Linked DNA regions of Rhinolophus ferrumequinum. The protein of the gene in region 3 interacts with the protein of the main gene of each other region in a pairwise test. Links are inferred from orthologs where the notes say so. Each region holds a gene or a part of one and is shown on either strand. Other genes may lie near its edges.

Evidence for each region.
Region 1: the proteins of FUNDC1 (region 3) and YES1 interact in binary tests that used the Homo sapiens proteins (3 or more experiments, as listed by UniProt). The two-hybrid records come from large-scale screens. The link is inferred for Rhinolophus ferrumequinum from reciprocal best matches to the Homo sapiens genes FUNDC1 and YES1.
Region 2: the proteins of FUNDC1 (region 3) and GABARAPL2 interact in binary tests that used the Homo sapiens proteins (3 or more experiments, as listed by UniProt). The two-hybrid records come from large-scale screens. The link is inferred for Rhinolophus ferrumequinum from reciprocal best matches to the Homo sapiens genes FUNDC1 and GABARAPL2.
Region 4: the proteins of FUNDC1 (region 3) and TUFM interact in binary tests that used the Homo sapiens proteins (3 or more experiments, as listed by UniProt). The two-hybrid records come from large-scale screens. The link is inferred for Rhinolophus ferrumequinum from reciprocal best matches to the Homo sapiens genes FUNDC1 and TUFM.

What each region holds. Positions count from the first base shown.
Region 1 is NC_046302.1:16,336,174-16,343,782, reverse strand, and holds the start of YES1 (tyrosine-protein kinase Yes), read right to left. Parts: upstream 3,007-7,609; 5' UTR 2,852-3,006; intron 2,761-2,851; exon of another isoform or gene 2,561-2,760; intron 2,451-2,560; exon of another isoform or gene 2,299-2,450; intron 1-2,298. UniProt on the Homo sapiens protein: Non-receptor protein tyrosine kinase that is involved in the regulation of cell growth and survival, apoptosis, cell-cell adhesion, cytoskeleton remodeling, and differentiation.
Region 2 is NC_046298.1:22,923,712-22,930,642, forward strand, and holds the start of GABARAPL2 (gamma-aminobutyric acid receptor-associated protein-like 2), read left to right. Parts: upstream 1-3,913; 5' UTR 3,914-4,041; coding exon 4,042-4,075; intron 4,076-4,403; coding exon 4,404-4,459; intron 4,460-5,618; coding exon 5,619-5,791; intron 5,792-6,931. UniProt on the Homo sapiens protein: Ubiquitin-like modifier involved in intra-Golgi traffic. Modulates intra-Golgi transport through coupling between NSF activity and SNAREs activation. It first stimulates the ATPase activity of NSF which in turn stimulates the association with GOSR1.
Region 3 is NC_046284.1:89,034,786-89,042,290, forward strand, and holds the start of FUNDC1 (FUN14 domain-containing protein 1), read left to right. Parts: upstream 1-4,494; 5' UTR 4,495-4,655; coding exon 4,656-4,683; intron 4,684-5,473; coding exon 5,474-5,630; intron 5,631-7,505. UniProt on the Homo sapiens protein: Integral mitochondrial outer-membrane protein that mediates the formation of mitochondria-associated endoplasmic reticulum membranes (MAMs).
Region 4 is NW_022680357.1:1,235,209-1,242,884, reverse strand, and holds the start of TUFM (elongation factor Tu, mitochondrial), read left to right. Parts: upstream 1-4,664; 5' UTR 4,665-4,755; coding exon 4,756-4,798; intron 4,799-4,902; coding exon 4,903-5,097; intron 5,098-5,565; coding exon 5,566-5,732; intron 5,733-5,897; coding exon 5,898-6,002; intron 6,003-6,086; coding exon 6,087-6,251; intron 6,252-6,384; coding exon 6,385-6,517; intron 6,518-6,601; coding exon 6,602-6,706; intron 6,707-6,823; coding exon 6,824-6,975; intron 6,976-7,060; coding exon 7,061-7,180; intron 7,181-7,676. UniProt on the Homo sapiens protein: GTP hydrolase that promotes the GTP-dependent binding of aminoacyl-tRNA to the A-site of ribosomes during protein biosynthesis. Also plays a role in the regulation of autophagy and innate immunity.

The DNA.
Region 1 (7,609 bases), on a different chromosome or scaffold from region 3:
TAAAGTTAGTAAAACCTGCTGTCTTCCCTCAAAATATTAACATTAACATGTTATTTATATGTCAAAATAGTTACATACACTAGCTGTTATGTGATAATTATGATATAGTAAGACTAATCCTGTTTGCAAAGGACAGCCCAGGCAGTATTCTTAAGTCAGTCACCAAATATTAAGTTCTTTATCCAAGCACCTTACATAGTACATTAAACACAAGCTTCTTTAAAAAAGAAAAAAAAGTTTTATGTAAACTGAAACACAGATACACAAAAGCACACAGAACAAATGTATGGCTTAATGATTTATACTAAAGCCAACACCCTTGCAACTACCATCAGGTTAAAAGAACTTTGCCACCACTTCAGAAGCCAGATAGATCCCTATCACAACTTCCTCCCTCCTCCCATCTCTTTATTTTTATAGAAATCACTTCCTTGCAGGTTTTTTTTTTTAATATAGTTTTATCACCCAAGTTCCTACATACCAGAACTTAGTATTGCTCTTTTAAATGTTTTGATATCAGGCTTTTTAGTATAATGCTAACAGAAACTAATAAATGATGCCTATACTGAACACTAGATTGAGAATTAAATATATTTATAAAGAAAAATCACATTAATAAACTATTTACTGTCTAAAAAGGTGCAAAGCTGAACTTTGTATAAAGAAATCTTACACCATGGGTTGGTAATATTTCACTTATAGTGAGTCACTGTTACTCTTTTAAAATATTTATTCCTTAAACATTACATACCTTGAAGATTTGCAAGGACATTGATTTTGCAGCTTGAGAATTTCCTGAATTAAAAAACTACTCAAACCATGTATTAATAATATACTTCAGCCATAAGACAAATTCCATCTATCCCAGGAAGATTAAGTCAAAGCTGTAATTTCACTTTCAGTTGAACAAAAAGGAGTCAAGTTTGTGGTTTGTGAAGTCAGCAAAAACATACTGTAAAATTAAAGCTATTATAACATTATGGTGGTTATAGTAGAGACATATTTTAAGAGCCCTTTTATCTTTTATTCTGGAAACATGGATATGAACTGTTTTGTATTCAGATCAAAGGCAACTTTTTTTTTTCTTTCAAATTTAGGACCCTATGAATTGTCAACCAGTATTCAAAATCTCCACTGAGGTTTAGCTAATGTCCAAAAATTAAAATATAATTTAACTTCCTTTTCTAAATGTCAAACGATGGCATGGGTTCTATATATTAGTAAAACAAATGTATGGCTTAATGAAATACAACTTTTTTACAGATACGAAAATCATATATGAGGTATACAAGATCCTTGGCCTCTAAGACAAGACACTCCTTCATTACCTGTCCATTCAAAACGTTTCCTGTCCACTGTGTGCCAAACACTGCACTAGTTAAAACATTAGATTTACCACATACTTGGCCTTAAATGCAGTCACATGTACACGTTTAGTAATACTTTCCTCAATGTGTAACTTAACTTTAGCAATTTAACAAGATGGTTTAAATATACTGAGAATTACCAAGCTACCTTTGGCACTGTAATCCTACAATTATAATGCACGAATATACTACAATCATATGCAGCACATGTGAAATCATCAATGTGAAAACACACACCAATGTAACATATACACATAACAACTGGCATGAGCATAAAGTTGTGATTCCACTAGAGACTTTTCATTTCTCTACCTTAATAATTTATAAATTGTTAGAGTGTTATTCCATGCCTTTTTCAATTACGCAGAAAATAATTCAACCAAATCCGAACCAATCCCACTCACTACAATACAAAAATCAGAGTAGTTCCTACATCGGACTTGATTTTCGAAGAGCTTCTTAAAACAACGCTGTCCCATAAAGCAAAAGCTGGAAGCAATTATCAAGTATAAAAACACATTTTAAAACAAAATTGTCTGTAATACAAGTGGACAGAGAACCCGAACCCATTGGGAGGCAGTGGCATAATACTGTAAAAGTGGATGGTGAATGCATATTTCCCAACCCCCAACACAAAACAAAGGAAAACTTGAACATGTTGTGGTTTTCAATCAAACCAAGTGAAGCGTGAGGCTCACCCACTCGTCCCACACACACACACACACACTCTCGGTCGCCTTCCCCGCACAGCAGACAACCGGCGTAAGTCGATACACTGACCCCCAATCTATGGACAGAAAGGGAACGCTGCCCTCGCCTTTTACTTTGGGGAACGAGCCAAAATAAACCTCGCCCCCGCCTCGCCAGGTGGCCCACAAGACCTTACGGACGCGGGTGGGGTGGGGGGGAGGTGTCCCAACGATCCTAGTACCTTAAGTCGGACTTGGGCGGGACCGGGAAGGACTGGACGGGGCGGAGACCGAGTCAGGGGGCGAGCAGGTAGCGCCGGGAAGAAGACACGCCCGCCCGGCAAGCCGGGCCGGGGGATGGGAGAACTTTTTCCCCAACTTCCCGACTCGGAGCCGGCGGGGGCGGGGAGCGGCGGCGCCTCCAGGGGCGGGCGGGCGCCTGGGCCTAGCGCTGCCCCGCCGGGGTCGGCCGCCTCCACTCGCGGTGCGCCGCGGGGTCCGTACCTGCCCTCGAGTCGCGCTCACATGGGTCGCTGCTGCTGCGGCGCGGGGTGGTGGGGGGCGGAGGCGAGGCCCTCAGGGCCCTCTCCCTCCTTCCACCTCCTCGTCCCGGGAGCCCCGCGCCAGCGACGACTGTACAGCCGGCCCCTAACTCGTTACTTCAGGAGGAGGGAATTCCCGGGCTCCCCCACCCCTCGGCCTCACTCCGCACCTCCCCACCGCTGCGCGCCCGCCCTCACTCCTGGCTCCGCCCCTCCACGCGGGGGCGGGGGCGGGGGCAGGGGCTGCGGCTACCTGCGCGCGCTGCCAGCCGGCTCACCGGAACCGGCGCCGCGCCCACCCGGGCTCGAGAGCCCCCAGCCTTCCTGCGCCGGCGCGCGCCGCCCGGGGCTGCGGACCACCCCTGTCGCGGTCCCCCTAGGTGGCAAGTTCGAGGCACTTATCCCGACCCAACATGGCGGCGGGGTCCGGGGCGGATTCCCGAGGTGGCGTAGGCTGAGGGGGCGTGAAGAGAAGGCTCTGCTGCACGCGGAGAGCCGGCCCACAGCGCCCCTCCCCACCCTGCGGACCCTGCAGCCGCCGACCGGGCTGCGGCAGGAGATGAAGCTGGGGGCGCAGATTCCGCCCCCTACGCCTTTATCTTTTCTCTTCCACCCGCTCTCTGTAGTGCGGAGGGCTTTGTGGCTTTGTTTGTTTTTGTGGGGGAGGACAGGGTTGAGTTATTTTGGTTGGCTGTTTGCTTCTCAGTACTATGCTTCCTCACCCATTGTCGTTGATAGTAAAACCTCCGCACAGCTGCAGGAGCCAGGGGTGCGTTACTAACACCCTCATCACAAGCCTGATCGCCGTCCAAAAACGCTCGCGTCTGGCCGCCTTCCGAGTCTGTCCCAGCCCAGGAGCTTCCTGTTGACTGTAGGTCGAACCAGCCTTGTCTGTAGAGGGAAGCCGAGTTTTGTTGGCGACTTTCCCAATGATGGTGGCTTTGACTTATCTTGGGACAGAGTATTTTTACACGACCCTGGCAACATCCCAGGGAGGGACCTGAGACAAGTATTATTCTGTTTGACAGCTATGGAAACTGAGGCTGCGACCCTGAAAGTGGCGCAGCCACAACTAGAATCTTGCTGATCTGAATCCAAGCACCTTTCCTATTTTCCTTGTAGCCAGTCGCTGCAGAAGAGAGCAGGTCCAGAGGGGACTGGGATAAAGATGAGGGTTAGTCAAACGGGCTGAATATTGAGGCTTTTCTGCTGAAATCACTTCTGCCCAGTCACACTCTTAGATTAACTTCCTCTTTGTATTTTCTCTTTGGTGGGGCTATCAACTATTAGTGTGGGACTATTGGTTTCCTTTGTGGTTTTTAGCGAAATTCAGTCATCTTCCACAGATACGAAATAGTACAATCATGTGTCAGTTTTCTGGTATTCTAGGAACTCAGGAAATGCATATAAGGGTTTAAACAATGTTTTTCTTCAGCTCACCAAATGAATAGAAAGTTGGTATAGGCATTCACGTTAACAAAAAGGTACCCATAACAGGGAACAGTGGTTTATTTGATTTAGCTACTGAAACTTCATTTGCCATTGACTTTATTGTAGGCATTAAAATTTTCATGTAGATTTGTATTCAGCTTTTTTTAAACTAGAAAATAAGTTCCTTGGGCTGTTTCTAAACTTCTAAATTAAATATTTTTGTTGTTCTAAACTCTCAACCTCAAAAAATCAACTCTCAACTGCAAGTTTACCCAGTTTAAAGGGTAAAGTGGCTTTGAAGATGTTCTGTATGTAGTTTTTAAAGATGGGAGAGGGTGTCAAAATCTGTCATACATGATATAGGTTGTATTAACTTACTGAGTTTTCTTCTCTCCACCCTCATTTTGATTCTTTTTATTACCTCATTCTCTGTTTTCTTTTTTGGAATATTCATCATACAATCCCAAGCTTAAGTCTGTAAATAATCTGGAGACTTTTCAATCTTAGACTCAATGGCTCACTTATTTCCAGGAATATTTAAAAGACCATAAAGCAGAGAGCAAGAGCGAGAGCGAGAGACAGAGAGAGAGAATCTTTAAAGTCTCACTGAATTTGGTAGAATAGAAATTGTTTTTAAGTAAAAATCTGTTCATTCATGAACCGTATGAAAAAAAGCACATCCTTTTCCCTCGCACACAGCATAGAGGTTTGGGATTTTATGTGTTAAAGAGTGATAAGGGACCTAAATCTTGGATCCATGGGACATTCTTCTGGATGAAAAAGCTAGGGGAAAGCTTGAAACAAACAATGAATGAAATACGTTAAGTCCCTACACAAGTGAAATGCATCATGTATTTAAGTTTATTAATGGTTACAATTTCTTGAAAGTTTAAAAAATTTGGGGCATACTTTCTCTCACCCTGGAACATGTGATTTTGCCAGGAAATGATTGTGTTTGGGATAAACTTCTACCTACTGTCAGTAATCTGCTGCTGCTGCTTCCCTCACTGAGGCTGTGATGATGTTTTTCTCTTCCTGAAAAGCAGAAAGCCTGCAGTCTTACATAGGGTGCATGCACTGGTTTCTGCTCTCTAATAACCATCCCACTACCCCACCCCACCCCACCCCCAACATGCCTTCCATTGGATTTGTGCTAATGGCTCAAAGCCTGGATCTTTTCACTCCACTTAGTGTCTAACGTTGTCTGCACCACCATAGCCTTGCCTCCTCCACCAGGCTAAACTGCTCATAGGCCCAGTTAGGAAAAACATGAGAAGAATATGAGGGCCCCTCTAAGCAAAGATTTGGAGGATCAGGCAAAAGGAAAGTATTCATCCTTGACCATTAGGCTCATTGTGCTCAGGTTAGTGGAGAGGTGCAGCAACCCATCAATTTCTGAATTTTCCTGATGCCTTCATTGCCTCAGGGCTGGTCATTGTGTATTACAGATTTTACTCCCCTCAACGCAGCAAGGACTGTCTAAGACATCTAATTCATTGGATGTATAGGACACATCCTACAATGAATAGATGTAACAAATGCCAATGTTCATGAACTTGAGCAATGCCTGCCCATGCTTTTGCTCTGTTTTGTTACACTCTCTAGCTTCTAGCTTCTAGCTCCTACATGGCTACCTGGTCTACAATCTTAGAAGTCCACCTGTGCCTGGTGTGCCTCCCTAACTCTGGGACTAGTTTTTGGATGTCTAGTTTTTGCTATTGGAACCTACTTTTGGGTCATCTCTTGGTTCACTTCTGACTTCAGTTCTTTCTGATTTTCCTACAATTTGGTCCCATGCCTGTTATATATAGTAAAGTCCCTGTTTTCAGTTCTTCCTGGTGCCTATTTACCTACCCCTGGGTGGCCTTACCCATAACTTCAGACTTTCATACTCTCAACTTGGTTCCTCATTCTTCTGGGACAGCAGTTCCTAAGCTGGATGGTACCAGGCATCTTCTCGCATGCCCTTCACCTAGCAGAATATAGCATGCAGTGGACACCTTTTGAGGATGTCTGTTTAACCCAAGTTCCTCTTCTCTGAGAATCGATCCTCTACCAATCGCTCGATTGTAGCCCTATGGTCTGAGTACCAATACGCCCAGAAATTTTGAATTTTGAGGGAGTGACACAAAGGTGACTTGGAGATTATTCATGGTGGCTGTGGTAGCGTTGAAAGGCCAGTGGCAGAAGGTGAGTGTCCAGAATAGGGCAGTCCAGTAGTAGTAGGCAACAAGAGTTCCGTGTTGATGGAGCCTGCATCTAAGCCTACCATCCCTGTGGCAGAACCCGGACTTTGTCTAGCCTTCTTGGTTCCTGCCTGAGCCTGTTCCACCAATCTTCCTGTGTATTCTCTGAACTACCCCCATTAAATTCTTTTTCAGATTGAAACAAGTAGAGACTCTATTGTTTGCAATGAGAACCCTACTTAGTCTCTACTACTTGCCTGCACTGCTTACAGTAAACGCAGGTGATGTGAAGGCAGCATCTCCTGCCTCATGCACAGAGTGGGGGTGGGTATGGGATCGGGGGAGCCATTTTTCAGAGAGAGGATGAAACAATGCACAAAGCGGTGAATACAAGCAAGAAGCGGTGATACAGGATGGTAGGACCCCAATACTGGAACTCCAGTTGCCTTGAGCCATATGTAAGACCCTGAACTTAGAACACAGCTGGCCAATCAGTCCCTCCTGCCTTCTCAGGGAAGTCATTGTTTTTAGACCACAGCGTAGCACACTTTCTCCCAAATCACTAACTTAATCCTTAAAATTCTTAACAATGATTCAGGCAACAGCCACCTAAAATTGGTGTTAGATGTTGAAACCCATTTGGTATCTCAGCCCTATAACCTTGTTTTCACCCAAAACATATATTTGGAATTCCTGTAGCTATTACCAAGTGTTTAGCCTTTACTTTTCTGATATATTAAACTGATATGCGGTCATAATATGTCAGCATCTCTGACATTGAGTTTAAACACCACTAAAATTGCTACCAGATTGCTACTTCCTGGAAATCTTTACAACTGGGTTATGAAAAGTAGAACATAACTTTGCTTGAAGGCAAAATGTTAAAGTTAGAATGTTTACCTACATCAAAGGTTTAGACATCAGATCACGAAACAAACAGTTGGTATTAAAGAACTTTTTATTAGTAGATATTTTGCAAGCTAACATTGTGGCTGGGGATTAAAGAAATGTGTTTAGAATAAATCTATGCTTTTGAAAACCTGTTTTGTTCTCCTTTTTCAAGCTAAACCTTTTTATATTTTCAGTAGTATAGATCATTATTTTTCACATTTGAGTCTGAACAAATTAAAATCTGACCAGATCTTATTATGTGATGTAAACCATAATGTATTTAATCCTTTAGCAAAGTATATCTATGCTTCTTTAACTTGTATATAAACAGATCTTTTGATTGCTTGAAGTAGCTACCTAATTTTTCTTCTTTCTAAGGGAATAGCATATGCAACAGATATCTAACGTAAGATCCATGCTTTGACAAAACGTTTTAGGTTGTCTGAATGAATTAATGAGACTGGCAGTACAGATACTAGGATTGATAACAACAATGGCTGCCT
Region 2 (6,931 bases), on a different chromosome or scaffold from region 3:
TGTTTGCATCAAAAACATAGTGTGAGGTTTATGCTCAGAATATGTACTCAGAATGGAGTCGAGTAGTCGATGCCCTTATTTTGAAGGCAACCTAGAAATGGCTTTTAGATGAAGAGAAGTCAAGATCCTAACAACATAAAGAGAGGTCAAGACTTGCCCATTTGGGAAAACTATCCAGGGTCCTTACCACAGTCCAAGATGAAAATGTCATCAGCCACAAAATGCTTTTTAAAAAACAAAACAAAAACAAAACCTCTTTTATTTATTTAAGTGTGTTTTTCTGGGACCTATCAGCTCCAAGTCAAGTAGTCGTTTCAATCTAGCTGTGGAAGGCACAGCTTACAGCGGCCCATGTGGGGATAGAACCAGCAACCTTGTTGTTAGGAGCACTGCGCTCTAACCAACTGAGCTAACCGGCTGCCCCAAAAAATGCTTTTGATATATCCGGTCCAGTACTATTCATTTTTGCTTTAAAGATTGTCTGGGATGGCAACACAACTGTTAAATATAGCAACTGTATTTTTTAAATCTTATTATTCTGACGTTATATTGTATCTATGCTTTAAGTGGATGACTTTCATTTATTTCAATAACCATTAAAATAAGATTCTAGAATAGATGGTTCTAGTGTCACCTCCTGAAGGTGGCTCTGCTCTGAGGAAGGAGATGTTTGCCTCCAAAGCTCCTCTTGCAGCAGAAGGAAACACGTACTGTAGCTAATGTCAACTTAGTTACTGCTGAAATAGAAGGAGGTGACTGCTAAAAATTTAGGTGTATGAACATCCTGGGATGCCATGAGCTTTGCAAAAGTATTTACTAATTTAATCTTTATTCCATGATTTGAGGAAGCTAGTCTTTGTGGTTTTATTTAAATTCTTTAAGAGAGAACATCAGATTTTTTTTTAAATGCTAAAGATTTGTGTATATTGTGTGATTTTCATGCATTCATGACTGAGAACTGACTTCTCAGTTTCCATGTCCATAATTTTCTGATGTTTCATACAATTTACCTTCAGGGACAGAGAGTCGTTCTCTTAAAACTACACATTTTAATAATATTCTACTCCTTTCTAGGAGCTCCCATTTAGGGTCTTCTTAATCAGTTTAGAACTCCTGAATGTTTGCTTCAAAGGTTTCCAACACTTCTTTGACTTTGGTATTAATCTATATTGCTGAACCTTTGGCTTCCGAGTTCCCTCATCTAACTTCAGCTTTTGTTTCTATTCATTAATGAAAGTTTATCCTTTGAAAAATGTACCCTTCTTTCCAAAATATAAGATTGACATTCTCTGTGAAGTCTTTCTTGATAAGCCTCACTGGGCTTTGTGTTGGCCCTATTGCTCTCGCCGTCCCTCAGTATCCATGTTCACACACCTCTCCAACATTTGAAATTTATTCTCTGTATGTTATAGGTCTGTTCATGTGTAATTGCATACATGCATTATCCTTTTTCTCCTGCTGACTCACCTCTTCAACTAACGATTCCCGCAAGGAAGGCATCCAGTGTCTTTAGAACATTCAATAAACTAAACATAATGACTCAAAGAAGACGGTGATGTATATCATTAAGGCATATCAGAGAAGCCAATTAGAATGGTGAACTGGAAAAAGACATCAAGAAAGTGGGTAAAGATAGAAGACAGAAGGACACTGCACATCACTGAGATCATCGGGTGTCGTGCCTGTGGTTGGTGGGTGGTGGATCTTTCCCCTGAGAAGTGTACTAAGTCTTCCATGTGAGTGGTGGTGTGCAAATGCTTTGGACTAGGACACAGTGACCAGCTCGGAAAGCAGGAGTTTCAGTTCAATTTCTAACTCCTCCATTGATTCACTATCAGATGGTGAACAACCATCTTCATTCCTCAGTGTTTAATTCTATTTGCAAAAAAGGTATTTTCATTTTTTTCCCTCTCTAGCTGATCTTATCCAGTTGAATAGCTTTAAATAATTCTCTCCTGAATTTGAGACCACAGATCCATTTACTTACCCAACATCTTCACTTGGATGTGTCTCTCAAACATCTCATACTTAATACATCCAAAACTAAACTCTTGATTCTCAACCCACCTGCCAAGCTGGATCCACTCTATTTCAGTAAATGGCAATTCCATCCTTACAAAAACCTTGACTTATCCCTCACACCTCATATCCAATCTATCAGCAAATTTTATCAGCTTTACCTTCAAAATATATCTAGAATACAACTGCTTCCCACCAACTCCATAGACACCTCCATAGACACCATCTTGGTCCAAGCCAACATCATCTTTCACCTGGATCATCATGATAGCCTGTTAACTGTTCCCCTTGCTTCCATCCTCAACCCCCCATAATCTACAGTCGAGTAACTAGCCTGATCACTTAAAAAGGAAAGTTTATCATATCAAAACCTGTGCTTCACATGGAATTCAAAGCTCAATACAGTTTTGTTCTAGATCTCTTTGATCTCATCTCCTCACACTCCCCCTTGTTTATTCAGCTCCAGCCACAAGGGGTTCCCTTTCCGTTCCTAGAAACTACTTTATTTAATTAGCATTCTATCCCACCATCACTCTCTAGACACCAACCCTGTTTTACTTTTCTAAACAGCACCTATCATTTCCTGATATATTTATTTTTGGTCTTGTTCCGCTAGAATACAAACTCCATGAGAGCAGAGGTGTTGTCTATTCTGTCCACTGCTTTTCCCCGACACCCAGAAAGAACAGTGTTCCTATGTATACAACAGCAATTTCTAGGTATGAAATTCAAAGGATTTTCACTTCATTAAAAACATTCAAGCAAACAAAAAAAACTATCTTGGTTGCTCAGACACACAATCTTAAAATAACAAAAATACTTTTATTTATTTATTTATTTTTTTTTCTTTTTTTCCCCTCCCCCCAAAAATACTTTTAGAATGAAGCTAGATTCCACAGCATCTGTCAGGAATTTCAACTGTAGGAAACGATGAATGACAATGTTCAAACATTCAGGCCTTTCAGGTGCATCAGCATCACAGGCACGTGGAAAGGATCATGTGCCCAATTAAGCGAATATTCTTCTTACTTATTCACCAGCTCATAAACAGACGATGACCCACAGCAGACTGCCCTGATGATTCTGCTAGGAAGAAAGGAATGACATCACTGGGGAACCTGAAGGCTCAGGCAGTGACACACGCACACTCACACAAGCCTAGGCTGTGATTGCTGAACCCCAAGATGACTGACTGCCAAAGAAGCTCATCTCATGACCAGCTCTCAGGGGAATTCTCCGAGTTTGACAGTCACTTCGGACCCTCTGCCAATTAAGGTTAAGGAGTCTCTTTCTGATCATGGTGATGTACAGTCCTCAAATGCCTTTGTGATACCTTTTCTTAAACATTTATTTAAACAGCTTTTCTTGAATAAAGGAAGGAAATTGGATTTGTTTAAATTCAATTTCTAGGTCCAAGGCAACCTGCTACGGCTGTCCTTAGTACTGAACCCCAGGGTTGTCATCAGTAGCCCTCCCCACACACAGTACCCTCAAATTAGTCACAATCCCGGTATGGAGCTCCCTGTTACCACTCCAAACAGTACTCCCCGAACTGTGAATGCCTTAAACAAACCCTGCCACCCCCTCCCCCATCACAAGACCCCTCTTCTGTCATTCATACCTCCAAAATCCTCCCCGCCACCAACGCCCCAGTCAGGCTTCCCTCATGAACAGCCCTCTGTAAGGATCCTATTCTATCAGCCAGACGCTCAAACTCCCCTTTCCGTAGCCAACGTCCAACGAGACCCTACTTCTATTATGAGTTCCCAAATATCCCCTCCCCAGTCACCAATATCCCTCACAAATGCCCCTGTCGTCAACGTCATCAACTCCACTCACCCTCGGTTGCCCCTCGCGAGCCGCGCCGGAAGCCCCGCCCCTAGCAGGTTGCTAGGCTCCGGTAGCCGGAAGTCCCGCCTGCCGTGTATTCACCGCCGCCGCCGTCGCTGTCGTTGTTGTTGTGGTTGGTGCTCTGAGCTCCGCGGCTCCGAGAGCCGGCTGCGTCCCTTCCCCGCCGCCGCCATGAAGTGGATGTTTAAAGAGGACCATTCGCTGGGTAAGCGCTCGGCCACTGGCCGGGCCGTGGGGGCCGGCGCGGCGGCTGGGCCCTTCCCCCACTCGGGCCGCCCTGGGCTGGGCCGGGCGGGGCGGATGTGGAGCTTTGGGTTCAGGTCGCCGAGGCCCGGATTCCCCGGGTAGCTGCCCACAGACCCCGTGCCGCCTTCCGCAGGCCCTGCTGGGAGCCAGGGGATCGAAGACTGAGGCCGCTGGGACGCCCGAACGAGGGCCCGGGGCGTGCGTAGGTCGCGGGGGGAGGAAGGCTGGGTGCCCCGGAACCGGCCTGCGGGCAGGCCTGACAGTCAGCCGATGTGTTTCTCCCACAGAACACAGATGCGTGGAATCCGCGAAGATCCGAGCGAAATATCCCGACCGGGTTCCGGTGAGTGGACTCCCCGCCCCTTCACCTCACTGTCACCCCTGTCGTCTGGGACCCGTGACAGGGCACCAGGCCATTCAACAGTTGACAAGTTGAGGTTCCAGCCCCGGTTCTAGTAGCAGATGAGCCAGACTGGGTTAGGGGCCGTACGGATGCGGGCGTGAGGGGGCTGGAGCTGGTGCTGTTCAGGGTGCCTCAGTGCTGAATCTCCCGATCTAGGCCAGCGAGCTGGCTGCAGCCTCTGGGCTCCCTCGCTAATTATGTAAGGAACGATGTTCTAGGACAGGGCAACAGGTCACTGCCACTTTGGGGAGCGATGGTGGAGCAAGACTGTCACTTTGGTCTTGGACGTGGTACTTTAGTCTCAGGACATTCTCATCTGTAACTTTGAGCCACCATTTTTATCTGACTTCCAGCACCCTTTCCTTACCCTGACCCTGTCATCTTTTCCTGACCAAAAAAATCTGAGAAGCTGCTGAAAACCCCTTCTCCTGTAGTTCTCCCTTAATCAATACTAAATATGACCCTATATTTCTTTCATGGTAGGGGTGATGGTTTCTGTACTCCTTATTGATTTTTAAAGGACATCCAGGCCTGTTATTGTAGTTCATTGCTTGTGAACAATTTCTTTGGAGAGGCGTGAGGGGGACAAATCGGAAACCTGGTTCAGAGAGAATCAACAGGCCAAATGAAGAGCTTGGTTCTTGGCTGGCTGGAATAGCCAGTCATTTCCATTAGTCCATCCATTCTCATTTCCTGTGTTCCTTGGGATCTTAATTGCGCTGTAGTGTGAAGGTAGATCCTTTCTGGGGTCTTGGAGTAACAGGCTGCTGATGGAACCCTCACTAGATATTCTCAGGTCTGCCCAGACAAAATGTTGAAAGCTTTGTAGTAAGGGCTATGTTTCTCTTATGCATGCTGAGATCAGGGATGAGAAATATAGTAACTGACCACAGAAAAGCACTTACTGTTTCCCTATAACATATTTATATCAGTTCTTAACCTCCAGAGTATGTGGTCTATTAATTCAGGGGCATGTTTTTTCATGTTACACAGTTTCCCACCCACCTCCTTGCCCACACACTGTTCATCAGCTCCCTGACAATCCAAGGCCAAAGTCTTACATTAGAAATCCAGTCCTGATCTCTCTTTGCTTTCCCAGGTGATTGTGGAAAAGGTCTCAGGCTCTCAGATTGTTGACATTGACAAACGGAAGTATCTGGTTCCATCTGACATCACTGTGGCTCAGTTCATGTGGATCATCAGGAAAAGGATCCAGCTTCCTTCTGAAAAGGCGATCTTCCTGTTTGTGGACAAGACAGTCCCACAGTCCAGGTGAGAGATGTGTAGTAGTGTTGGTCATCTGCTTGGCTGCGTACAGAACTCAAAACTTTGGCGGTCTGAAAACTCTTAGAGGTCCTGACTGGAAATCAGGATTTTTGTGCTTCCTTACATTAGGAGCTCAGGGAAAATAAAGGCTGCAATAACTGGGAGTGTGCTTTGGGTTAAGACTAGAACAAGGCCTGGATTATTTTAAAAAAATAATGAAATCTAGCCTCAGACCCCTCAGAATCCTTTAAAACAGTTGAGGACTCAGTTAAGCTTAAGCCATCAGTAGACCTGAAACCTGGAATGGTTTTCTCCAAGTGATCCAGGAACTAAGTCTTGTCATTCTCCATTGGGAGCTTGTGGACCTTGCTGAGGCTCAGCTTCAGTTAATCATCCCGCTTGCTTGCTCTCTAAACTCAGTCAGCTCAGAGCCACTGTGAGAATCTGTAGCTGCCTGATCTTCAGTACACTACAGTGGCTGCTGTCCAGCAAAAGGCTCTGAGGTCCCTCTGCAGACTTAAACCTCCCGTGGTATCATCTGTGCTGTCAGGTTAACCGCCCCCATGCTCTAGCTGTTGTGCTTCCTGGAAGCAGTCTTTGGGATAACTTGGGGCTGAATCTAGGCAGGGCATTACAATTCCCTTCTTCCGTGTAGTTGACAGCCCAGCTTTAGTCCCCTGTGGAAAGAGGAAAATGGACTGGCTCAGTCTAAATCCCTGGTCAGTCCTTTCCTGTTAACTGATTGAATACTAGGCCCTGAGCCAGATGCTGGCCCCCTCTTTCCTGAGGTGGAGTTTCTGGCTGCATCTCATCTTTGTGGCCCAAACTAAGTTTCATTTGCTATCCCCCAAAAGTAGTACTTCTAAAAATTAAGGCTTTCAGAAGCCCTGGGAAATAACCCAATGTGGCCAAAATATGTTCCTTTTGAAAATCCTTGAAAGCTCCAGAAGAGGCCTAAGCCAAATTCTAGTCCTTTTCCTACGAAAGGTAGAAAGCTCTTTTTCAATCTGAAAGACCAGAAGGCAGAAAGGCTATTTTTTGGTGTGATTTGCTTTTTCCCAATCTCTACCACTTCTACTTCCTGGTGTTTGGCAGAGAAGCAGGGTAGGGGAAAAATGGAAGATTCTTCCCTAAGGTCTGTCGACA
Region 3 (7,505 bases):
AGGAAGTAGGGTGGGGCAAGGGAACTATTACCAAAAGGGAAAAAAGGATTGTTTTTTGGAGGAGGACTTTATTTCTTTGGGGGAAGAGAACTGAAAGGTTTTTTATCATGAAGATTGCCTCTTCTTTTTATGGGGAGTGGGGTGGGATGGTAAGGGCCCAAGTAACAGATTACTTTAGTAGTGCTTGACTAGAAAACTCCAGACTGGTTGATTAAGATTACGTTTCTGGGAGAGGTTGATCCTACAATTAGATCAGGTATTAAATCTAGGTTTGGTATTATGGGCTTTCAGCATGAGTGATGCCATTTTGGGCCAGTGGTTTTCTCATGAACAAAAGTAAGCTAGAGAAAAGAAAATGTTATTAAGAAAATCATAAGGAAGAAAAAATACATTTGCAGCATTTATTGAAAAAAATCAGCATATAAGTGGACTCGTGCAGTTCAAACCTGTGTTGTTGAAGGATCAACTGAGATTTAGGTTTTAGAAGGGAAGATCTAGTGACAGAATAGATTGCAGTGAGGTGAGATTGGGAGAGACAAGAAAGTGCAGGAAGAAGCCAACTGAGAGGCCATTGCAATGGTCCAAAGGATGGCCTTGGAGAGCATCAAGGAGAGAACGGATGCCACAGCCTAGGTGGTGCAAGTGCAGGATAAATGGCTGCTTCACTGTGGGAAAAAGGGAAGGAAAAAAGAGAAGTGACTCTAAATTTGTTGTTGTTTCTTTGGGTAGCTTCAAGGACAGTGTGGAATTGGTTTGGACTTGTTCAATTTGTGTGTCATTCAAATGCAGGTATCTAGTAGGGACAGTTGTAGTAAATGGGGGAGATTAGATTATCCAGGGAGTATGAAATGTTCTTGTTTGTTGTTTTGTCTGGTTTTTGTTTTTCTTAATTCTGACTAAATTGTTTTTAACAAATGAGGTTCCCAAAGACAATGAGGAAAGGTGGAGATCAGGAAGGAATAGTTATATTATAGTAGCTTCATTATGGATTATATAGAAAATGTTCTCTATTTCAAATAAGTGACTCATAAACTTTTGAAACACTACCCATTGAAAAGTTGGGGACTACCCAAATTATGATTTGGTACAGTTGTAGATAAATGTGTTCATGATGAAAATGTTTATTAATGCTGGCTGGAAAAACATACACTATTTAAAATGGGAATTAAAAAAGAAATCACCCGCTTGAACCCACCAGGAGGATCATAGTGTCTATTAATGTCTGTGTATACAATTTACACAATAAACCATTTGTCATGGAGCCAACAAAATGACAGCTTCTTCTCTACTGGGTAAGAAAAAACTTACATTTAGAAAACCATTATGCAAACAACTTCCTCAAGGTCATAGCAAGGGCATATCATTGTAAGAAGGAAGGGAAGAGCATTAAGAAGTTCCTTCTCAGCCCTCAAGGCCTTTAGAAAAATTATTGCCTTTTAATTCATGTTTGGATTGACAACCAAAGGTAGTCTCCAATTTAATGCCAACAGGGGTCCTCAATTTGGGGTGCAGTGAGAGGAGAGGCTTTATTCAGTGAAAACAGCTCAATTATGAAATAGCTCAGCTGTGTAATAATAGCATGGCTGTGAGACAGCTCAATTGTGGAACCACACTGTTGTGGAACAGCAGCTGTGAGGTAGCACTGTCAAGGCAGCCTGGGCAAGGAGGCCTCGCTGTTGCTGGTTTTGGAGCTCTAGCCAAGGAAATACAGCCTTTGGTGAAAATTGAAAGTGCACTCCCTTGAGGCAGAGGTGAAGCTGGCTTATCTAGAGAAGAATACCTGCCCTCGGTCCCTAACTGCTTCATTTCTATGCAAATGAAGACTCCAAATCTTCACTGTTTGATTGGTCCAAACAGCACTGATTGGTCAGAATAGAGCCACTCTGATTGGTCAGTGAATATGCAAATGATGATATAGCTGCACAGCCCCAATTGGCTGGGGCAAGTCTTCAGCCCATTGGTTCATTTACAAGCAGTAGGATTTCCTTTATAAAGGTTGGCTCAGATGGCAGTAACACAGTGCGGGAGGCAGACAGCTCAGGGCAGCTTTCCCCTGCAATACAGAGTGCATGAGAGACCTCTGTAAACAATGGCTGCTACACTCTTATTATGAATTTGAGCCCAGTTAACCATGAAGAGTCCTTTTTGGCATGTATATTCTTCTCTGGGTCAACGGGATCTATTTTGGATACAAAGGTTTATTCTTTGGGATCTTAAGGGCAGTGTTTTATTTCCATTTTCTCCCTAATTTCTCGATAGTCATTTGATTCTAAATACTATTTATTGCCTTGAGAGGAAAAATGACTTCTTTCTGTAGTTGGCAGATATTGTTAGAAACACGTGAAAGTATCTTTTGGATGTCTTTGGCCCAGTCAGCCCTACATTTTGCTCTTTTCCCCCCTTTCTTCCGCCTCCCCCACCGCATCCCCATCCCCAGTTCAAGCCGTTGTTTCTCAGTCCAGTTGTGGTGCTCCCTGGCCCATGCTGGTATTATGAGCCCTGAGCAGCTCTCCTCGGCTGCTCATGGCAGCCCAGCTCCAGGGAGAGCTGTTGTTCACAATCTTAGCTGTAGAGGGCGCAGCTCACGCCCATGTGGGAATCGAACCAAAAACCTTGGTGTTAGGAGCATGGTGCTCCAACCACCTGAGCCACGGGGTTGGCCCACATTTTGCTCTTTCAATTTGTAATTTTCCTTTGCCTTGTTTTACTCCTTTCTCTTCTTTCAATGGCCCATTTGCTAGTTCTCTATTTGTTAGCATTTCATTAGGAGTGGGTGGGCAATGGGAAGGAAGAAGTGTATGAACTCAAATTTCTAACTTTTGGAAAAATATTTCAGTCAGGACATCTGAAGTTATGTCCCTTAAAGTTGTGTTTTTTTTTTTTTTAATTGGGGAACAGTGTGTTTCTCCAGGGCTCATCAGCTCCAAGTCATTGTCCTTCAATCTAGTTGTGGAGGGTGCAGCTCAGCTCCAAGTCCAGTTGCCATTTTCAATCTTTAGTTGCAGGGGGCGCAGCCCACCATACCATGAACGGGCAACCTTGTTGTTGAGAGCTCGCGCTTTAACCAGCTGAGCCATCCGGCCGCCCCTCCAGAAGCTCAGGGGCAGCTCAGTTCACTGGCCCACGTGGGAATCGAACCGGTAACCCTGTTGTTCAGAACTCACGCTCTAGCCCACTGAGCCATCCAGCCACCCCCAAGGTTGTTTAGTTTTTGAAAAGTGTAATCTTACACAAAGTAACTGTCTTTTGAACACTAATATCTCCAGCCAGCCTTAGAATTGCATTTTGAGGGCCACAGGCTAAGGAACTTCAGAGAATCAACCCTCGCTTTTAAAGCACTAGGATTTGAAAAGCTGCCGTGTAATTATGTAAGTCAATATTTTAAGTAATGCAACCTATACAAGAATTTGTTTTTCCATTAAAACGAATACTGAGAGGGATGTTTTAATTGTACAGCAAGTGCAGGTGCAATGCAAGTTCAAAATAAGTTTGGGGCTGGTTTTTGTGAACCTGAGTTAGCTGCTTGGTGATCAACATGATTTTTCATTCTACAGAAGCCTATCGGGCTTCAAAGTGAAGAACTTGACCTTGTTCCTCTGTCAGATTTAAATAAGAAAATGATGTTTAAAAATTACGTCCTCTTTGCAGCCGGATGGCTCAGTTGGTTAGATCGTGAGCTCTGAACAACATGGTTGCTGGTTCTTGATTCCCACATGGGCCAGTGAGCTATACCTTCCACAACTAGATTGAAGACAATGAGCTGCCATTGAGCTTCGGGAGGGGTGGCTGGATGGCTCAGTTGGTTACAGCGCAAGCTCTCAACAACGAGGTTGCTGGTTCAATTCCCTCCATGGGATGATAGGGCTGTGCCCCCTGCAACTAAAGATTAAAAATGGCAACTGGACTTGGAGCTGAGCTGCACCCTCCACAACTAGATTGGAGGACAATGACTTGGAGCTGATGGGCCCTGGAGAAACACACTGTTCCCCAATATTCTCCAATAAAATTTAAAAAATTATGTCAGAGGACTAACTCGAGTTAGGTCTGCTCCTAGGGCTTTCTTTACCCCCCTCAGGTTACTGGGCAGGAAACGTGTGGAGAGGAAGCGGATAAAAAATTTTCAATTCCCAGCAGCAGAGCGTTAGAAAAAATTCCACCCATTAGTGAGCCCTTGCCTCCTTAGAACAGTGTGGTTTGAAACAGGGTTTCTCTTATTTCCTTTTAAAAAGCCTTTTTTTCTCAAGGGCTTGAATTCTGGTACAGTGTTCAAAATGTCAAGCTGGTTTTCGCTTTATAACATGTAATGAAGCCCTCCTCTCCAGCCCTGAGACTGTTTAAAATAAAATAACAATTTAGGTCGTGGAAATTCTAGGGGGGTGGAGTGGGAAGCTAGGGTTGCCGACGACAACGAACTACAGCTCCCACAAGCCCTCGTGGGACTGCTATCCGACCAACGTCCCACCAGTCTTGCGCTTGCGCAGAAGACCCTGCGCTAAGAGGAGGGGGCGGGGACAGGATAACGCGCTCCGAGGAGAAAGAGAAGAAGGAGGAAAAAAGAGACCATAGACTTCCATCTGGGCCTAGAGCGGCTCTTAAAGTAGTGGGGAGAGGAGGGCGGGCGGGGACCACGTTCAATACAGGCCGCCGGCGGTATCATGGCGACCCGGAACCCCCCTCCCCAAGGTGAGCGGCCGGGGCCCGAAGTAGTATCTGAGACGCGGCTCACAGCTCTCGACCTTGTTCCAGGGGCGCCTCTTCCTTCCCCTGCTCCAGGGTTCCTGGGGCTGTTTTTCTGCGACAGGCCCTTTGAGCACCCCTCTGATCTATACTCCCCCTCCCCTCTCGGCGGAACGCAGGCGAAAAGCGATCCCCACCCCCAACACAGCCCACCTCCGGCCTTACCTTCTTCTCTGGCCCCTCATTTCCATCTTCAGACGCGTTTTTCAGTCTTAACTCTGAAGTAATTTCTTCTTGACGGACCCCCTAATCGGTTCTGTCAGGAGAACCCCTTCTTTCTCCCACCGATGAAAATGGACCCAGTTCTAGCCCTGGCCCTGAGATTTGCGGGTTACCCTTCATGTTGTGAAACTGATCTGACGCTATTGAAATTTGGAGGTTAACCCCTTACTGCTGTGTAACTTTGGCCTGATCCTACTGAGACTGCTGTGTAACTTTGGCCTGATCCTACTGAGATTTGGGGGAGGGGGACGACCCCTCACTGCTGTGTAACTCTGACCTAGCCCTGGTTCAGGCCCCCAGGCCGGCCCTGGGCCTTTGCAAAGGAGATGCTAGGCCCTTTTACTCTTGAGGCCCTCGTCTCAGGGATTGGATGTAACAAACTCTTAATGTTTCCATCTAGATCTTTTTAACTGTAGTCGAAAAGTAATAGTGCTTTGTAACAGATAAAAATTGTGTAGGACGGTTCTGATTTTGGTTGACTCTAAATGTATCTTCCCCATTTTGTATTTTGAAGAATATGAAAGTGATGATGAATCTTATGAAGTGTTGGATTTAACTGAGTATGCAAGAAGACACCACTGGTGGAATCGAGTGTTTGGCCACAGTTCTGGACCTATGGTAGAAAAATACTCAGTAGCCACCCAGATTGTAATGGGCGGAGTGACTGGCTGGTGAGAATAACATCTTTTTCATTACATTTCACTGGGAACCTGACTGACTGCTGCCCTTTTGTACATGGGACAGTTACTGACCTCACTTACTAGTGGTTTTACACTGTTAATCCCAGAAGAGCTCTAACTTGAGACTTTTCTCTGTGATATGATTAGTGTAATCTACACTCAGAGACTCAGTGTTGGGTTTTGGTGATCTCCCTCCCCGCTGCCCACAATTGTTCCACTGTTTCCTCCTCACCCTTCCTTTGATTCTTTATATATTTTTCCCCTTCTCAAATTTAGCTAATGTAGTGGATCTGATTCAGTGATAGTAAAGAGAAAGAAATAGATGAGTTAATTATATATTTTACTTGATCAGTGCTAACAACTGGAAAAACCTGTGATATTCCCACAGTAGAACTGGTCTCTAGGATTGTCAGCTCTATAGAGAGCAGTGAAAATTCTCAGTAAAAATTATTGATTATGATACAGATGATTGTGTTGATTTTTGTGGGCTAGTTTGGATTGTAATACTTGAAGAGGAGTTGTAGAACACTGAGCCTTTGTTGGAATTAAAGGATGGATTGCTTATTCTAATAATATGGAATACATTAAGCAGTTAAGCATTAACCTAACCAGTTAACATTTCAGATCACATGATTACATAATTGCTACTATAGATCTAATTCTGTTATTCTTAGAATAAAAGATTAGCCAAGTAACGGGTCAGAAACAAGTTTGACTGTTTATTTTGAAAATGTTCATTACCATAGAGAATTTTTAAAGTTCGTGTGGGTGCTTAACATGTGCACCATCATTTTTTTCCTTAGATTCTAAGTTAAATTCATCTTACATTAATTTAGATATTTACATATTTAAACTTGATAAGTATAAAATTAATTCTTTAAATTTGTATTTTACGTGCACCTTGGAACAATGGTGCACTCCTCTGTGCCTTTTTGTAAATGCCATTTGATGGTAGAAACAATCATTGTGAAGGTTCTGTGATGAAGAGGTACAATATTTATTCATGATGTATACTTATTAATGCTGCTTATGAATAAAGCCTGTAATTAAAAGAGATGCCTGGTTAGGGCCCTGGTTATTCAGACGATTCTCCACAGGCTAGTTGTACCTTGATCTCCATAATTTAGGGTCTGGTCCCCTGTTTAAATAAGCTCATAATCTGGTGCCATGGGTGATTGGTTAAAGTGTCAGGGCCTAAAGCCCTATCCTAAAAGAGATTAAAAAGTAATTGAGCAATAGAATTAAATCATTGTATGTTTTCTCCTTGTAGCTCAAACTCAGTGAGAAACTCCGTAATTGGCAGAAGTTTGCTTGGAAAGCCTAGGGATAGAGCAGAGAAGTTGGTTCATTTTAGTGACTTATGCCATCAAGCAAAGGACAGACATGCTTGTGGAGCACGCTGCCTGGGATGTTGTTGAGACTTGACTGCTGCTTGCTTCCTCCACTCCTTTTCTGAGCCTTTGTTGCGGACTTCCTACCTGAGGGACAGTCTTTATAGTAATACATGTTTGGATAATAGCCAGGCATCAGCCCAGGGACTGTGTAATAGGACTAATACTACACACGTGATTTGCTGCAATGAGTTTAGATTCAGTGTAGTAAATTTTTGTAATTTTCTTAGGATATAAAACAGATGTGCTACTGTGGCATACGTGAAGGAGGAATGGTTAATAGGCATTAACTTAACTAGTTAACAATACAGACCAATTCAGGACATGAGTGGGACGCTGAGGAGATTATATTTAGCTGTAGGTAACTATAGATTTTTTTGATCATAATAAGAAATTAAAACTAATGTCAGGGTGGTTGGTTGCTAGGAGAAATGGAGGTGTGAAGATTAATTAGACGGTCTAGAAGATTAGTTGG
Region 4 (7,676 bases), on a different chromosome or scaffold from region 3:
ATGACAAAGCTCTGGGTCCTCGTCCTCATTTTGCCACGAAGTTGGGGGCCAGCCCACTACTCGTTTCGGTGACACCTGGCCCTGCCCTCCCTTGAGAAGTCAGAGCTACAGGAAATCTTAAAAATCATACCGTTTATCCTTGCCACTCTGTCCCCACCTTATGGGTAATACAGTAGAGGCACCAAAAGTTACACTGACTCAGCTTTATTTTAAAAATGAATGTGAATGCACAATGTGCTTTCCATTGCAAACAGCAGGAAACTTAACAAGCCCAACACAAATACCCAACTGCAATGATTCAACACACAATTCCCGTAAGTGTCGGGCACTGTTCTTTGAGTAAAACACAAGTTCTTACTGTCCTGAGACAGAAAAAAATAACCAAACAACCAAGCAAACTAAGATAATTTTGGATATTTAGGTGCTAGGAAGAAAATCAAAGGAGGAGAGCTGCTAAAAGGATGATCTGGGTGCTACTTTAGATAGAAGAGGTGCCATGTGAGGTGGGACTGGAGTGATGAGAAAGAACGAGCCACGGGGAAAGCGACAAGGAAAAACATCTGCAAAGACTGTGAGGTGGAAACAATGGTGGGATGTTTGCTGAACAGCAGGATGGTCCGTGTGGCTGGCAGGGAGAGGAAACGCATACTAGATGGGCTCAGAGGTACCAGGGGCCACATTATGCAGGCCCTGGGGGCCACAGGCCGAGTTTGGATTTTTGATGACAGCTTTATTGAGATACAATTTACCTGCCGTACAACTCACCCATTTCAAGGAGGAGTATGGATTTTATGCTAAGTGTCAGAAGGAGTCATTGAAGGGGGATTAAATTCTGATCCACATTTTAAAGACCGATTTGGCTGCTGCGTGAAGGATGCATTTGACAGGTACTGAGAATAAGAGTAGAAGCCGGGAGGTTCCTTGGAAAAATCGTGAGGTAGCCCAGATGAGACATGGTCCCCGTCTGAACCAGCACTGATAGTGGAGAGAGACGTGTTCACGTTCAGCATATATTTTGGAGAGAGAACCAGCAGGACTGGGTACTGGGCTAGGTGTAGGGTGAGGGGAAGGGAGAATGGTGACGCCGCGTATTAGATGTGTGAGGAAGAGTGAGGGAGAGAACTGAGAATCCTGTTTTGGATGGTTAAGTCCAGGGCACCACACGGTGGCACTCTTCCGTTTGGGAGGCGCATTCATAGTTCAAGTGCCAATATTCAGAGACCGACAGTGGCCAGGCACAGAGGATACAGAGATTAAGGAAGCCCAGTTCTGGCCTTGCCCAAGTCACTCAGTCCCAGACAAGAAATACGTCTCAGGGTACCAAGGGCTGTAAGAGACAGTGTCTGTTGGGACGCATTTGGCTGCAAATAACAGACAACTCTGACCCGGTCTGGCTTAAACAATACGTGTACCGTCCATCATCACATACCACACGGAGTCCAGCCTTCTAAGGTCCTCTTCGCTTCGCCCTCTTCTGGATTTTGGCTGTATCATCACCTGGGAGCAGGATGGGCACAGCAGTTCTAAGCTTCCCATTCAGACCTGGCAACATTCAGAGGCAGAAGGAGGTCCATTTGTTTGGTGTCTCCTTCTTAAGAATGAAGGACCCTTTTTGGGAACCCCCCCTCCCCTGCACACACACACACCCAAGCAGATCCTTTACCAATCACTGGCCCCAAAGGAGTCACCCCGAACCTGACACAAGCTTCCGGGGAAGGAGAATAGGACCCCCCCCCAGAAGTGGACTAGACCTGTCAGGATTTACTCCTGGACAGGAGAAAAGGTCGCCCGGAACAAACTCAGGGCCCTGGCTGCAGGAAGATGGAAAATGGCTGTTGAACAGGAGTGCAAAGTGTCCGAAGCATGAACAGACTTGAGGGGACCTGGAAAGCCATTGGATTTCAAGAGTATCTTTTTTAAAGAGTTCAAGATTCTGCACTAAGAAGTTTTTCTTTAAACTGGAATCACAGAAAACAAATGTTTGAAAGAGAGAAAAATTTCCTCCTCAAAACAAATCCACAGCCTCCTAAGTCACAATGATTTTCGACTTCCCTTGTCCCCAAGGCCCCCAACTCCCGTCTTGTACAGATGCCACCTTCCTATAGTAGCCAGGCTTCCGCTTCATTTAACACTGCTCACAAGCATTTTCACAGGTGGCTGGCTCCTCTCGTCTCTGCAAGTCTGAGCCCATTCACTAATATTTCATTTAGTGGCCGTGCCAAAATTCACGCTACCGTAGCCACAGCCTGGACATTTGTGTTCCTTCTGCTCTTTCACTGGGATATTGGTCATAGGCAGGACTGGACATCTGGGGGAGATCCCCTGGCCCCCAACGTCAGTCAGAATACAGAACATCTGTGAGCCTCCTGATACAAGAACACCGACAAACGAGCTAGGCTTCTCCAATCAGATACCTGCACGTGAGGCTTTGAGTTGACCTGTGTTTGGGGGTGGGGAGTGCGGGGCAGAGAGAAGGTCTCTTTCTTGATGCAGAAATGGCTTCAGTGCCAACAGCAGTAGCTGTTACAGACAAATCTCAGTCCTGGCATGCAGTGTATGGTGGCGTAGCGACAGTTTTCTTATCAGGTCAGATCAGTTCTGTGGCTGGGGCGTTATTTCTCCAGCCCATCCCACAATTCCGGAAGCTGCCTAATACCCTTAAAACAAATCCCTCTTCTGCTTACACCAGCCGGCGTCAATTCTGTTCTCTGTAAATCAAAACTCCTGACTTACAGAGGATGCTACATCAACAGCTCTACAGAATTTTCTCTCCCTTTGGACTTACTTTTCTGAGCACTGTTTCTCAAATCTCAGTTGTTCATGTACCGCCTCCCCCCACATTTGCCATATATACATACCACCTATATTATCTACCAAATAGCGTGTTTAAAATCGATTCATTTTCTTAAACACAGTATTTACTGTGTTTATTCTTTGTTTTTTAACTAACACGCGTTAAAATAAATATAGCGCCACGAAAATGGAAAGCTTTAAGTTTCTTTAAGAAGAAAGTTTAAGTACCACCCCCAAAAAATCTCATATCCCTTAGTGGCCAATAGTGTCTTAGGACAAATTTCCAGTAGGGTGACTGAGATACAGAGTGGGGACCAAGCACACCTTTTTATACTGTACCAGCCCCTCCCTAAGCAGAGCTGATGGGTTGGAGGACCAGAGGGAGCGAAGTGTCAGTATTAAGTTCTTCAGTTTAGATGAGCAGTAAAAGGATAGTTAAACGACAGTTTGGTACAGTAGTCAAGTGTACACTGTTTCGGAATTCAGTTGTATTGGGTTTCTTCATCATCCCCATACGCAGTTTTCTCACCTGTAAAATGGGGGGAATATGGGCCCTACCACACACAGTAACACTGGGAACCAATTCACTGACTGTGAACCAATGGGAAGCATTTGCATATCTGATCCATAGAAGCTCGAGTTTACTGTGTCCCAAACTCTGAGCTTCAGAAGGGTGTGTGTGTGTGTGAGAGTGTGTGTGTGTGTTTGTGTGATACATAAATATGGTTTCCCTGTCTGTGCCCCGACCTTACTGAGTCATCATCTCTAAGCAAGAATTTAGGGAATCTATTTGAAACAAACACCATCAGGTCAATTGAGTCTTAGGACGTGATGAATTGTAGAAACATTAACCAGGGCCGAGCTGCTGCTATTACCATCCCAGGGTGATAAGACGATGGATGAAGGTTATTATATACTATCCTTGCACGCATCCGGTCAGTCAGCAGATATTTACTGAGCACTCACTGGGTGCCCCGTCCTGTGTGAGATGCTAGGGACACGGTGGGGACCAGAAAGGCTCCGGTTGCTCTGAAAGGTCCCTGAGGCTCACCCTCAGGTGTCATTAGGGAAATTGTGTGGGAGGGTGGGGCGACGAGCAAGGGAATTACTCCCGGGGCTCCTGAGGGCCATAGGGGTAGACGGCAAAGCTTTGTCTGTCCCCGCAGGCTGTGAGCCAAGAGGGTGGATATTCGAGAGTCAAAGACTGGGGGACCTGGAGGCCCCACGACCCCATTCCTGCCTCCTCCCCAGCTCATTTCCTTTCCGAGCCAGACGTCAGGATCTCCGTATGAAGTAGATATCCCTCCTGTAGTCTCATGTTACAGATAAGAAAAGAAAAGCGCAGAGGAGAGATGGGTCACAGTTGAGTCCCACCCCCGAAAGGCGCCCAGGACCGTCTTTCTCAGCCTGGCCGCAGAGCCTCGTCCTACCTGCAGCTGCGGGACAAGGGCCGCCAGATCTCTCGTCTGACCCGCGCAGTGGGTCGGACACCAGGGGGTTCGCGGCCAGGACGTTCCTGAGCAGTCCGCGCCGGGGCCCCCTCCCTCTGGACCCGGTCTCGCCCTGCCTACCTCCCACACTAAGCGCAAAAACAGCCCGCCGCCCTGGGAACTACAACACCCATGAGGCTTCGGGGCGCTGGTGCATTATGGGACGCTCGCTCTACACCGCTCCCCAGGGCCGCGGGAGAGAACTGCGTGGACTTTCTCCCCCCGGGAGGCCGAGTGCGTCGTGGAAACCTCTGTCCTTCCCCGCCCCGAAGACACCAGCATCTACCTACCTTGACATTTTCCGTCCCGCGCCCGGAAGTCGGCGAGGGCCATAAAAACTGGTGGCTAGAGGCGCCGGGATTTGCCCTCCGGGCCCTCACTTCCGCCGGAAGTGTCCTGCAGTCGCAATTGCCCTTTCCTCATTGCACGCGCGGGCACCCGGTACCGTCTTCGGGGCGGGCGTACGACCACCATGGCGGCCACCACCCTGCTGCGCGCGACGCCCCTCTTCAGCGGTGAGGGGGCGGGGAGGGCGAGCGCGGCCCAGGAGCACGTGGGGGCCGTCAGGAGTGGGCCGGGCTCGGACCCGCGCCCTGACTCCAAACCTCTGCCCCGGCAGGTCTCGGCGCCGGCCCGACCCCCGCGCTGCAGGGTCTGTTGCGGTCGCTGAAGGCCCCGGCCCTGCCCCTTCTGTGCCGCGGGCTGGCCGTGGAGGCCAAGAAGACCTATGTGCGCGACAAGCCCCACGTGAACGTGGGAACCATCGGCCATGTGGACCACGGCAAGACCACACTGACCGCGGCCATCACGAAAAGTAAGCGGGGTTGCAGGGGGCGCCTCGGCGGCGCCCGCTCTGCCAGCGGGAGGGACCTGGGGCCGGGGAGGCGGGGCCAGCGGAGGGGCCGCTGGAGGCGTTTAGTGGAGCCGCAGGTGCCGGAGCTCGGGTGGCCGGTGGGTTGGAAGCTGTTGCAGGAGACAGCTTTCCCCTCCCGTGAACTTCTTCGTGATGGCTGCATTGGGGGGAACGCTGGACGGCCTCCCTCCCGCCGTGGGGGCTGCTTTGTAAGCGGAGGCTTCGTTTTACCCTCGAGAGGTCGCTGGGCAGGAGCTTGAGACCCTTGCTCCTGCTTTTCTGACTCGGTTACCTCTGCTGGAGGAGTCGAGGGGAGGGGACCACCCTCCGGGGCTGTCCGCGTAGGGTGAGGGGCCCAGGGGTGTGGCCCGCGCCCGGCCTCTCCCCCTGGAACCGCAGCTGAGAGGTGTGTTCTCCGCCCTCCCTTAGTTTTAGCGGAGGGAGGCGGGGCCAAGTTTAAGAAGTACGAGGAGATTGACAACGCCCCCGAGGAGCGCGCCCGCGGTATCACCATCAATGCGGCCCACGTGGAGTACAGCACTGCGGCCCGCCACTACGCCCACACAGACTGCCCGGGCCACGCAGATTACGTTAAGGTGAGAGTGGGGCTGGGGACAGCGCCAGGAGCGCCTGCCGGCAGGAAAGACGGGAGACTTGTGGGGAGGAGGCTGAGATACTCAAGACGTCTAGGCTTGAGACCTGTAGGGATGTGGACCGAGGAGATGGCTGAAGTAGGTTGTTTCTTCTCTTCCCGCACCCAGAATATGATCACAGGCACCGCCCCCCTCGATGGCTGCATTCTGGTGGTGGCAGCCAATGACGGTCCCATGCCCCAGACCCGAGAGCACTTATTACTGGCCAAACAGGTAGGCAGAGCCTGGGTAGGAGTGGAAAGAGGAAGAGTAGGGAGCGGGGCCGCTTAGGACCCCATGTCTCTTTCCCGCCTGCAGATTGGAGTGGAGCACGTGGTGGTGTATGTGAACAAGGCAGATGCCGTCCAGGACTCCGAGATGGTCGAGTTAGTTGAGCTGGAAATCCGGGAGCTGCTCACGGAGTTTGGCTACAAAGGGGAGGAGACCCCTGTCATCGTGGGCTCTGCGCTCTGTGCCCTGGAGGTGAAGGCAGCCAGGCAGGGGGCTGCTGTGCGTGGCAGAGAGGGTGGGGTGGGCAGCAGAGCTGTGCTGAATCTGGGTGTGGTTCTGGGTAAGCAGGATGGAAACGTCAGAGTCCTGTCACCTCCCCCCGTAGCAACGCGACCCTGAGCTCGGCCTGAAGTCTGTACAGAAGCTGCTGGAAGCCGTGGACACCCACATCCCTGTGCCCACCCGGGACCTGGAGAAGCCTTTCCTGCTGCCTGTGGAGTCAGTTTACTCTATTCCCGGTGAGAACCGTGTCCGTTCGCATCCTGTCGCCCTGGCAAGAGCCTCGCCCAGGGTCCCTGATGGCCTGTCTTGTTCCCTCCCAGGCCGGGGCACGGTGGTGACAGGTACGCTAGAACGTGGCATTTTGAAGAAGGGAGACGAGTGTGAGTTCCTGGGACATAACAAGAACATTCGCACGGTGGTGACAGGTACCAGAAGCCTGGGGGTCCCGGGGCTGGCTCCAGGGTGACGGCTGTCCCTGCAGATGCTTTGTGCCTCCCCTCTGCCCCAGCCCGTCCTCCCTGGTCTCCCCTGCTCCCTCCTAGGCATCGAGATGTTCCACAAGAGCCTGGAGAGGGCAGAGGCTGGCGATAACCTGGGAGCCCTGGTCCGCGGCCTGAAGCGGGAGGACCTGCGGCGGGGCCTGGTCATGGCCAAGCCAGGCTCCATCCAGCCCCACCAGAAGGTGGAGGCACAGGTGAGCCCGGAGGGTGGAGGTCAGGTGGGCAGGGCTGAGCCCATCCGGAGAGGCAGAGCTTCCAGCCACGTGCTGTCTCTTGCAGGTTTACATCCTCAGCAAAGAGGAAGGAGGCCGTCACAAGCCCTTTGTGTCTCACTTCATGCCCGTCATGTTCTCCCTGACGTGGGACATGGCCTGTCGTGTCATCTTGCCTCCAGGGAAGGTACGGGGGGCTGGGGAAGGTGAAGGCGCGGGGTAGGGGGCGCTCTTCGTATCAGCTCTGCACTTACAGTTCCGGAGACGTGACAATATGGGTGACTTTGCCGTGGGCGGAGAGGCTGGCAGGTGACACAGATGAAACTAGCGATGGAAGGGTCTGAACCCACGGATTTGGGGTGAATGAGGCCTGATCCAGTATTCCCTGGGCTTAGCTGTACTTGCATTTATGCACAGAAAGGCTTGCAGAAGGCGGCTTCTCTTGAGTTTCACTGTACGCAGGGCTCAGAGAAGTCCGAGACAAGGAAAGCTGCATAACCCCGAATTTCAGGCTGTGTTCTCAGGTGCATTCCTGTGACCCTGTCCCCGGCCCCCTCTGGCCTTCGCCTGTGCTCTGTACCTGCCTGACAGCTGGGAGGAGCCGTCCTGTCACGTTGGCTGCGTTTCCCAGCAAACAGGTGGCGGCAGAAGGGCACCCTGCAGGCCGCGGCTGACCTGTGTCT